Ovis aries: one gene and its partners. The protein of the gene in region 1 interacts with the protein of each later gene in a pairwise test. Links are inferred from orthologs where the notes say so. Each region holds a gene or a part of one and is shown on either strand. Other genes may lie near its edges.

Region 1 (3,748 bases):
TTATGGTGATGAAAATGTTATAAATTGACCTACAAAATGGTTGCACCATTCAGTAAAGTCACTAAAAATCACTGACTTGTCCTACACATAATACATTTAGGATGGGTGACTTTTAGGATATCTTAAATATGCTTGAAAAAAAGTTGTGTTTAAAAATAAGCGTGCTTTTGTTTGTAGTCCCTTAAAGAATTACAGTGGACCCTTGAACAACACTGGAGTTAGAGGCACTGGACCCCAGGAAGTTGAAAACTTGTGTATAACCTTATATTCCTCCCGCAGTATTCATGGTTTCACATTTTAGGATTCAACCAACCTTGACTGTATAATACTGTAGTATTTATTTAGAGGAAAAAAATTATCTGTTGTAAAAGTAGATCTCTGCAGTTCAGACTCATGGTGTTCAAGGGTCCACTGTAAATGAGTAACTTTAGACTGCTGCACTTATATAATTTTTATTAAGCAACTGTACTAATCCTAACTTTGGATGGGAGAGCACTAACTTTGGAGAGGTGTTCATACAGTGTTAGGAAATCTCCCCAGTTAGCTGCTCACTGGGAAGGAGTCTTCCAGGAAAAGGATTTCTCATAAATCCAAGTACCTTCTGTTGGTTTATATTTTAGGTCAGTTCAAGGATATATACAAAAAGAGATTTAAGTTGTCCTGTGACAATGGACCAAATGATCTATCTGATGGGTATTTTAGCCAATATTCAGGTTACACAATAATTTTTTTAAAAACAACAATTTTTAATGCAATTTGAAAAGGAACAGTATACATTATATAACTTGGAAAGTGTACATGCCTAGATGGTGAAGACTTGAGTGCGTAACATCAAAACACAATAGTCCTTAGTAATGTCACAGCATTAATCCAGTTCCTGAATCTTCATATATTCACTCTAAATATATTCTCTCCACTTACCACTTTATGAGGTCTTGCAAACCTAAGCCAGGAAGGACTTCACAGCCCTCACAGGACTTGAAAGAATTTTACAAACCTGAGGTCTTTATATAAACATACACCCTATCTGTAAGGCCATGCCTGACAATCTTACTGAAAACTGTGAACTGCACAAAACTCCGATTCACTTGTCTTCACAGCACTAAAAATACTACACACACACACACACACACACACACACAAATATATACAGTGATTACTGTCTTCCCCTACTTGAATATAAGCACCACAAAAGGAAAGATTTTAATGATTTTGTTCCTAGGGTGTCCCCATTACCTAGAACAGTGCCTGGCACACTGTAGGCACTCAGTAAGTGTTTACTGAACAAAAGAAAGGGTATCAGATGTGTGCAAGTAAATAAAAGCTGATCCCTACCATATGAATGAACGAGTCTCTTCTATCCACTTACAGCCTGGATTCAAGGTTAAAATAGGATTTTTGGACGAAGTGGAAGAGTAGTATTGATCTCTACACTACCATGTGTAAAACAGCTAGCTAGTGGGAAGCTAAGGTATGGCACAGAGAACGGCTGAGCGTTCTGTGATGACCTAGCAGAGTGGGAGGGAGGCTCAAGAAGGAGGGAATACATGTATACTTACAGCTGATTCACAATGTCATAGAGAAGAAACTAACACAAAATTGTAATTTACTATAATTTTTAAAACTTAAAATTTTTTCATTATGATTTTTTAAGGAAATAGAGGCCTCAATAAAATCCTCAAGCTGCCTACCCAACATTTTCTCAGCAAAATGAAAAAAGAAAAAAGCAACAACCAAAAGAAGTATTTTTAATAAGTTGGTTCTAGTTCTGGAGAGAGGACAAGTTAATTAATCTCACATGACTCTTAAGAAAAACAGGAAAGTTCAATACTTAACTAGTAACCAGTAAAAAAAAAAAAAAAAAAAAATCAAAGCAGCCTGTTTTTCTACACCCAAAATGGGATCCCATCACTTAGGAACACAGAGCTCAGCAGAGTACGTCTTAGCAATTCTGGCCTCAGCCCTACATCCTCAAGATCCAACTCCAAAGTCCCTTTTTCCTTTCCCTCCATCCTGGAAGCCTTCCTAGAACCATTTTACACACACAAGCAACCTTCAGACCTCCCAGTTCTAAGCCCTGACCCAACCCAGGTACATCCCAGCGTTTCCCAAGGCCAGCAGAAAGACCCACCCACCTCGCGCCCCGGGGATCCCCCGTAAACTACCAGCCCTACTAATCCAGAGTCAGGGAGCACGAAAGAATCCAGACAGCAGGACTTCCCAGCCTGGCCAAAATTGGAGGACATTTTAGACCTTTATCCCAGTTCTGCCAATTTCAGTGTGACCTTGAACACGTCCCTGCTAGGGGGTCCCCGTTTTCTCACGTTACAGGCGAAGATAACACCTGCAGCTGCTGTAAGGATTACAGGAGATCACACGTGAAGCACCTAACGGGACACCTGGCACGAAATGGGAACTCCACCATCAGGACCGTGGGTCATTCCTCAGGGTCCTTGCAGCCTCCCAGCTGAAAGGCATCTCGCCCAACAACCCAATCTCCGGGTTTCAGAGGGGGGCACTAAGGTCGGGCAGTAGAAGCGTGCTGGACGCCAGTCCCAGGACCTCGCGACGCCCCCGCCCGAGCCCCCTCGCCGGGACGCCGCCGTTGCCGCGGGGCGAAGCGGTACCCACTGCCTTCCCTCGGTCCCCAGGTTCCGCGCGGCCCGGGCGCGGCCGCTCCACCTGCCGCCAGGCCCCGCCACCCGCTGCCCGCTCGCGGCCCGGCACACCCGGACTCCGGGGCTCGGCCTCCCGCGAGGCGCGGCGTACTCAACTCTTCACTTTGCCGAAGGTGCCGACGCCCAGCGTGTCGCCCAGCACGTAGTGGCCGATCTTCACCCGCCCGTCGTGCTTCTGCTTCTCAGCCATGTTCGGCGCGCGCAGCCTCGCTCCGCCGCCGCGGGATCCTCTGCGCGGCCACCGCCGCCGCCTACCCACAGTGCAGCGGGCCCGCGGGGGGCGGGGGCCCGAGACTTGGGGACCAGGCGAGACGGGGCGGGGCGGGGCGGGGCGGGGGGAGGGGGGACGCGAGCAGGTGGGGGGCAGGGGCGGGGGCGCGCCGAGGCCCCTGGGCGGGCGTGAGGCCGGCGTGGGCCCGGGGCCAGGGCCCTGGGGGCGCAGTGGAGGGAGCGTGGGCGCTCGGTGCGGGGGAGGTCGGAGGCCGACAGGTGTGCGCGGAGCGGGGAGGGGGAAGGATGTCGCCTCGCTACCTGGAGGAGGGGCCCTGGGGTGGGAGCCGGGTTAAGGGGCCCTCTAGCAGAACCTGACGGTGCGAATGAGAGGGTGAGATTTGGGCCGAATCTTGGCGAGTGGAAAGCAATGGAAGTATTAATAGAACCTGGGGAAGAGAAACAGGCCTGAAGTGTGGGGAGAGAGGGGCGTGAAAAGCAGTGTGTGGGTCCGAGGGAAGTCAGGGCTGGCGGCAGTGGGGAAGGGCCTTGATCGAAGGTCAGTCGGAGGAGAGTCACAAGGAAGCTTTTGGAGTCACGCACTGTTTTCATACAGGTCACCAGGGCACAAACAAAAAAAGCCAACTCTGCTGGCTTCACTGATTCTCCTCTACGTTCTGTCTAATTCTCAGTTATGGAGGAGATACCCTCTCTAGAGCTCTCCGTTCTAACTAATTTGCACAAAGTTCACCAATCAGTCCCAATATTTGCTCAACTGTATTTTAGACATATAAATATATGGGCTTTCTAGGAGGCTCAGTGGTAAAGAATCCGCCTAGGAGACAAGGGTTTGATCCCTG
Region 2 (3,648 bases), on another chromosome or scaffold:
GGGCCAGGCATGGATGCGATGCTTCACTACGTTCTGCTCTCATCTTTGCCCTCCTTGTCTGTTCTGTGCCCAGTCTTGGGCCACAGCCAGGCTCCTCTTGGGCTCGTGAAAATGAGAAGATTCCAGGAGGCCTTTGCACCATTCTGGAAAGCCAAGACCTCAGGGCTCCTCTAGTTTTTTTCTGCGGGCTGTTAGTGGGATGCTCCTGAGGGTCCCCTCAGGGTCCCGGGGTGAGGGCAAGGCACTCACACACCTCTGTGTGCCCGCCCATCTGCCCCCGCTCACAGTATGTCATCAAGACAGTGGAGGTAGAGTCGTCCAAGACCAAGCAAGCCCTCAGTGAGTCACAGGCCCGGAACCAGCACCTGCAGGAGCAGGTGGCCATGCAGAGGCAGGTGCTGAAGGAGATGGAGCAGCAGCTGCAGAGCTCGCACCAGCTGACCGCACAGCTCCGGGCGCAGGTGCGTGGGTCATCGCGTGGCTGTTGGGGTGGCATGACGCTGGGGTCGCCCTGTGGCACAGTGCAGAGGCTGAGCACTTGGGGTCCCACAGACACGTGTTCCAGTCCCCCTCTCCCTGCTGGCCGTTGTGACCAAGGGCAAGTTTCTGCTCATATGTAAAATGGTCTGATCGCAGAACCCAGCTCCCGGTGGGGCTTGACCTCATTGCAAGATTGACTCAGGGCCTGGCACACACGCTCTTGGAAGGGTACCCTGGTCTGTATAATAACTGACAAGAAATCCTCTCCCTTGCTTCCCAGGGCCTGTGGGACCCTGGATGGTGCTGGGTTGATGCTGGGAAGTAGCTGCACGGAGCTGGCGGCCCTTTCGGGGAGAGAGATGGCCATCCTATCTCTTGCTTGTGCATATGTGTGTGTGTGAGGGGTGGGGCATCTTGCCTTCCCATGGGGCATTCCACTGAGCTCCTGACCCTGGCTTCAGATTGCCATGTACGAGTCGGAGCTAGAGAGGGCCCACGGGCAGATGCTGGAAGAGATGCAGTCCCTGGAGGAGGACAAGAACCGGGCCATCGAGGAGGCCTTCGCCAGAGCCCAGGTGGAGATGAAGGCAGTACACGAGAACCTGGCAGGTAAGCCGGCCGGCTGAGCCCTAGCCTGCTCCCTGCACCATGGCCCTTCACCCCATCCGCCTGTCACCCCTTTGTGTCCCCACAGGCGTCCGGACCAACCTGCTGACGCTGCAGCCAGCGCTGCGGACCCTGACCAATGACTACAATGGGCTCAAGCGTCAGGTGCGCGGCTTCCCGCTGCTGCTGCAGGAGGCCCTCAAGAGCGTCAAGGCCGAGGTGAGTGCAGGCCCTGGGTGGTGGGGCTAGGAGAGGCTCTGGAGCCCCTGGGTGGACACAGCATCCCCCACCACGCCCTTCCCAAACTCAGACAAACCCCCAGACGGCAGCTCCCTTCCCTACCACACACATGGCTGTCCTCAGACCATTGGAAAACCAGTTTGATTTAGGGGTAGGTATTTGGATATTTGTCTTGTTATGAGTCTGTAAAGCAAACACGTCACATATATCTTTATATCCCATATGGGCTACGCATATCTTTATATTTCAAACATGCTACACATATCTTTACATCTGTTAGGTTTAATTTAATTTTTTCAAGCTGTACTTGTGCAGTATGAGAATAACCAACGTGTCTAAAGTGCTTCCTACATGCCGAGCCTTTTATAGCCATCAGCTCCTTGAGTCTGTGTGACAGCTCTGCAGGACAGACATATATTTGGGGAATCGAAAATAGTTCTTCTCCTTTAATAAAAAAAATCATGTCAATAATACATGGACATGTTGCAAGTACACACTTCACAGATAGGCGTCGGATGAAAAGGAAAGGCCTCTCTCTGCCACCCAGCCTGCTCCCCAAAAGAAACCTCTCCCAGCATGTCCTCTGAAGGGCATCCGAGCATACTGGAAACTGTTGACACGCGTGTGCATGTACACACACTTCCCTTTCTCCCAGCAAAGGGGAACAGGTGTGAGTGTGGCCTGCATCTTGTTTCTTTTCCCTGTGAATGGAACTTGAAAGCTTTATCACCAGCTCCTATGAATTCCCATTTTACAGATGAGGAAATTGAGGCTTGAAGACATTGAGCCAATTGCTTCTGGTCTCCCAGCTCCTCAGAGTAGAGCTGAGATTTGGGTCCAACTGAATCCTGTGGAGTGAGGGCTGAGTCCCAGCTCTTTGCTCATCAGCAGGGCAACCTTGAGATTGGCTTAGCTTCTTTGGGGCTCAGTTTCTTGCTCTGTAAAATGGGTCTGGTCGCAGTACCTACCCAGAGGGTTACTGGGAAAATCTGACGTGTGACAGCTCAGCTCAGGTGCCCAGTCCAGGGCAGGCAGCGATGAGCAGGCTGTCAGTGGGGGGTGGGGGGCGGCAGCTGGGCATGTGAGGTGGGTGGAACTGCCCACCTGATGGCGCTGCCCTTCCCCCACCAGATTGGCCAGGCCATCGAGGAGGTCAACAGCAACAACCAGGAGCTGCTGCGCAAGTACCGCCGGGAGCTGCAGCTGCGTAAAAAGTGCCACAATGAGCTTGTGCGGCTGAAAGGTGACTGCCGGCTGGGTTGGGGGGTGCCCAGCAGAGGGGGCCCTGACCTGCCTCGGGGGTGCTCCTGCCCTTCCCTTTGGCCTCCAGTGCCAGTCCTTGGAGCTGTGCCCTGTCATTTTGAGGCACTGTTGTGACCCCCTCTTTGTAAATAGGGGTACAGAGGCACAGAAATGTCACAGGGAATTTGCTCAGAACTGCATGGCGAGTAAACAGACGGTCCACCTTGGATCCGTCCAACTCTGAAGCCTTTCCTAGTGCCTGTGGTAGCCCACCAGGTGTTGGAGGAGCAGGGCATTGAAGTACTGGGCGGTGGGTGGCTAGAATGTCATTCTGATGTAGGGCTTGGTTCAAGCTTGAGAGAGCACCTGTTCACTGCCCAGCAGTCCAGAGAGCACCTGCCCTGTGCCACATGCTCTTCCAGACACTGGGGATATGTCTGTGGACCCCACAGAACCCGTCCTTGCCCTTATGGTGCTCCCTTCAGTGGCGGTGGGGGGGGGGAGCAGATGGTGATCATTAATCACCCTGAGAACTGCATCAGTGCCCCTTTACCTGGGCTGGGGAGGGGTTCTCTGAGCTCCTAAATATCTGACAGTTGAGGGTGCTGAGGGGGCTTCTTGAAGGAGGTGGAACCAGGGCTGAGACCTGGACTGTGAGCTGGAGTGGCCAGGTGAAGGGAGGTGGGGCCGTGCTAGATGTGATGGGGAGCTTTCTCTTCATTCAAGCCTCTGGGATCCCCTCTAAGGGCTTGAAGCAAGGCGGGTGGTGTGATCGAATCTGTGCCCCAGTCAACCCCTGGGCTGCCTTGTTGCCTGTGCCCACCTTCTGCCTGGTCCCGTCAGCCCATCTGATTCCCAAACTCTGTCCTGGCATTCACAGTGCCCTTCTAGAATGAGAGAGCAAGCTCCTTGGCTTAGTGGGCCCCAAGCCCCTCACTGTGTGTATGAGGAAACTGAAGTCTAGTTGTGTGATGAGGTGTCCATTTGGGTATCCCACTCAAACTGGGTGCAAGGTGCAAAGTCTCAACTCTGAAAACTGACCTTTCCTCTATGTCCCCAAGGTGAGGCTGTCACCCTCAG
Region 3 (3,748 bases), on another chromosome or scaffold:
TACTTCAGGACTTTATATTGTCACCTTGCTTATTTAACTTATATGCAGAGTACATCATAGGAAATGTCGGGCTGGATGATTCACAACCTGGAATCAAGATTGCTGGGAGAAATACCAACAACCTCAGATATGCAGAAGATACCACTCTAATGGCAGAAAGCCAAGAGGAGCCTGGTAGGCTACAGTCCATGGCGGGGCGGGGGGGGGGGGGGGGGGGGGGGCCGTGTGGGGTCGCAAAAGAGACACTAGTTAGCGACCAAACAACATCAACAGTGCTATGAGCTTTACACATATTTAATTCTCACAACAACCCTGTTGTTAGGTAGGTATTATTGGCTGTATTTTACAGTTGAGAAAATTGAACTCTAGAAAAATAAGAGTAATTTATTCAAAGTCGCAGTGTATTGGTTTGCTAGGGCTACCATCACTAAAAACTACAGACTGGATTCCTCAAACAAGAAAAATTTATTTCCTCAAAATTTTGAAGGCTAGAAGCCCAAGATAAAGGTGATGGCAGCATTGGTTTCCCTAAGGCCTTTCTTCTTGGATTGCAGGTGACTGTCTTTTTCCGGTATCTTTCTTACTAAGCTTGTTAACTTGAATATTTCCCTGATGGTAAGTTCTAACTTGAGTAGATCTAGAATACTAACCCAAAAGAATGAAAATTGAAGTAGTCCATCTAAACTAGAATGTGTGTAAATACCTTGAATTAGTCCGTGCTAAGTATATTAACTCAAAAGGAAGCTTGGTTTAAAAAGTTTAAGAACAGTGCAAGTAGCATCTTTGGTCCTTAAAGAGACAGGTACCTGAAGGGTGTGGGGGTGGGGCAGGTTGCATCTTTCCAGCCTTTTAAGGTAAAGGAGGGAGGGAATCATCATTAGCCAATCAGGCCCTGAGGTCACTTCTCAAAGTCACTTCCCGTCTCTCCACTTTCTCTCTTTTCATTTTGGTGGTGGGCTGGTGAGTGTGCATTTAATCTTGATTCCTAATTGTTTTGAATTTCTCGTCAGTTTGAGCCACTGTATCCTTGTGACAGCCTTAATTTCCAGCTAGCCTTGGAGTGTTTGTGAGCTACTAAGAGATTAATTTCGGCTGTGTGGAAATTGGAGGAAGGCAGTGAAATGATCTGCCTGGCTTCTTTCCACGTGGGCCTCTGCAGGACCCAGTCTGCCTTCCTTTTCTGAGACAGGGTGACCTGGGAACAATAGACTCTGCTTCATGTGCTTAGTGTTTCTGCAAAATACCTGGATTCATTTTGCTTGGAAGAAAAGGTACTGTTATTTTCTCAATGCTGTTTTGACTTGTGTCTTTTAGCGAGAGGGTAGATCTTGGAAGAGAAGTTTAGACCAGTCAGCTTTAATTCTCCTGGGTCTGCAGGGCTCAGGTTTTTACTGGGCGTGTGGGAGCTGCATTGGATGTTGTTTTTGCCCCGGTCTGCTTCCCTGGTCAGAGTTTAAAGCGTCTGCCTCCAATGCGGGAGACCTGGGTTCGATCCCTGGGTCGGGAAGATCCCCTGGAGAAGGAAATGGCAATCCACTCCACTATTCTTGCCTGGAGAATCCCATGGATGGAGGAGCCTGGTAGGCTACAGTCCACAGGGTTGCAAAGAGTCGAACATGACTGAGCGACTTCATTTCACTTCACTTCACTTTGCTCAGAGCAGTTCATCTTTCTTGTTGGGAAAGACACTACAAACTCTGAAGTCACATGGTTTTAACAAGCTTCAGGAGGAGCTCCCAATTTTAATGTCAGCACTGTGGTGATGATACCCTCAAAAGCTTAGGATGTACTGAAAAAGATGAGGGCCTGAGCTTAGTGCAAGCCTAAATGAAATTCCATCACCACAGTTTACTCCTCCAGTGATCTTAGGTGAGTCAGTGAACGATTCTGAGGCTTAGCTTTTGAAGATCAAAGTATATGAAGTCCAAGCACTGGTGGATGTATAATAAATGTTACATACCTTCTAGAAATAAGCAGTAAATATATTTTGTGTATTATTTTTCTCCTAAAAAGTTTTGCCCAGTGACCTTGAGTATTATACATTAATATATGAGTTATCTTTACAGGTAGAGGGTGTTGAGCAAGTAAACTTGTATTTTACATTGTTAGGAAAAATGGAAATGTACTGGGGACTGTAAACATGCAAAATAAAAGAGGAAGACTGAATTCCTCCAAAGCTATTTATTTTAAAAAGTCTTAAAAGTCCCAGATCATGTCTTGTGAAACAACTAGTTTTTCAGTTAGAGGTTTCGTTGAGTGGGAGAAAAATTAGTTTTCTATGGAGATATGCTTTATCTTATTTTATATCTATTTTACATAATTTAATCTTAACAGAGTTAAGGAAAGGAAAGGAAATCTGAGGCTTAGAAAAGCTGCATAACTTGCCCCAGGTCACAACAATGGAGCTAGGAGTCAAATCTAGCTCTGTCCAACTTCATTATCTTAACCATTAAGCTAAGTTGCCTGCCACTTATTTAAACCTTGCTTGGATCATAATAAACAATGGAAAATTCTGAAAGAGATGGGAATACCAGACCACCTGATCTGCCTCTTGAGAAACCTATATGCAGGTCAGGAAGCAACAGTTAGGACTGGACATGGAACAACAGACTGGTTCCAAATAGGAAAAGGAGTACGTCAAGGCTGTATATTGTCACCCTGCTTATTTAACTTATAGGCAGAGTACATCATGAGAAAGGCTGGGCTGGCAGAAGCACAAGCTAGAATCAAGATTGCCGGGAGAAATATCAATAACCTCAGATATGCAGATGACACCACCCTTATGGCAGAAAGTGAAGAGGAACTAAAAATCCTCTTGATGAAAGTGAAAGAAGAGAGTGAAAAAGTTGGCTTAAAGCTCAACATTCAGGAAACGAAGATCATGGCATCTGGTCCCATCACTTCATGGGAAATAGATGGGGAAACAGTGGAAACAGTGTCAGACTTTATTTTTTTGGGCTCCAAAATCACTGCAGATGGTGATTGCAGCCATGAAATTAAAAAACGCTTACTCCTTGAAAGGAAAGTATGACCAACCTAGATAGCATATTCAAAAGCAGAGATATTACTTTGCCAACAAAGTTCTGTCTAGTCAAGGATATGGTTTTTCCAGTAGTCATGTATGGATGTGAGAGTTGGACTGTGAAGAAAGCTGAGCGTCAGAGAATTAATGCTTTTGACCTGTGGTGTTGGAGAAGACTTTCTGAGAGTCCCTTGGATTGCAAGGAGATCCAACCAGTCCATCCTAAAGGAGATCAGTCCTTGGTGTTCTTTGAAAGGAATGATGCTAAAGCTGAAACTCCAGTAGTTTGGCCACCTCATGTGAAGAGTTGACTCATTGGAAAAGACTCTGATGCTGGGAGGGATTGAGGGAAGGAGGAGAAGGGGATGACAGAGGATGAGATGGCTGGGTGGTATCACCGACTCAATGGACATGAGTCTGAGTGAACTCCAGGAGTTGGTGATGGACAGGGAGGCCTGGCGTGCTGCAATTCATGGGGTCACAAAGAGTTGGACATGACTGAGCAACTGAACTGAACTGAACTGTATACCTATAAAATGGAAAAGATAACATAGTACTTGTGAAATGATTTACTCTAAGGACAGTGCTTTATAAATTTTAAGGCAGAGTTATTATGAAATAGATAAAATATGAAGTTATTCCTTACTGCTGTTTTGAGCCAAAGCCCTCAGGTACTGTATTTTTTAATTTCATTTTTATTTTGCTCCACCAGTGATAGGACTAGGA

The links.
Region 2: the proteins of PRKAA2 (region 1) and KIFC3 interact in binary tests that used the Homo sapiens proteins (3 or more experiments, as listed by UniProt). The two-hybrid records come from large-scale screens. The link is inferred for Ovis aries from reciprocal best matches to the Homo sapiens genes PRKAA2 and KIFC3.
Region 3: the proteins of PRKAA2 (region 1) and CCNB1IP1 interact in binary tests that used the Homo sapiens proteins (3 or more experiments, as listed by UniProt). The two-hybrid records come from large-scale screens. The link is inferred for Ovis aries from reciprocal best matches to the Homo sapiens genes PRKAA2 and CCNB1IP1.

The regions. Positions count from the first base shown.
Region 1 is NC_056054.1:31,181,873-31,185,620, reverse strand, and holds the start of PRKAA2 (5'-AMP-activated protein kinase catalytic subunit alpha-2), read right to left. Parts: upstream 2,911-3,748; 5' UTR 2,869-2,910; coding exon 2,775-2,868; intron 1-2,774. UniProt on the Homo sapiens protein: Catalytic subunit of AMP-activated protein kinase (AMPK), an energy sensor protein kinase that plays a key role in regulating cellular energy metabolism.
Region 2 is NC_056067.1:25,319,841-25,323,488, reverse strand, and holds part of KIFC3 (kinesin-like protein KIFC3), read left to right. Parts: intron 1-287; coding exon 288-461; intron 462-941; coding exon 942-1,089; intron 1,090-1,174; coding exon 1,175-1,305; intron 1,306-2,457; coding exon 2,458-2,569; intron 2,570-3,648. UniProt on the Homo sapiens protein: Minus-end microtubule-dependent motor protein. Involved in apically targeted transport. Required for zonula adherens maintenance.
Region 3 is NC_056060.1:25,047,214-25,050,961, forward strand, and holds the start of CCNB1IP1 (E3 ubiquitin-protein ligase CCNB1IP1), read left to right. Parts: upstream 1-907; 5' UTR 908-1,271; intron 1,272-3,748. UniProt on the Homo sapiens protein: Ubiquitin E3 ligase that acts as a limiting factor for crossing-over during meiosis: required during zygonema to limit the colocalization of RNF212 with MutS-gamma-associated recombination sites and thereby establish early differentiation of crossover and non-crossover sites.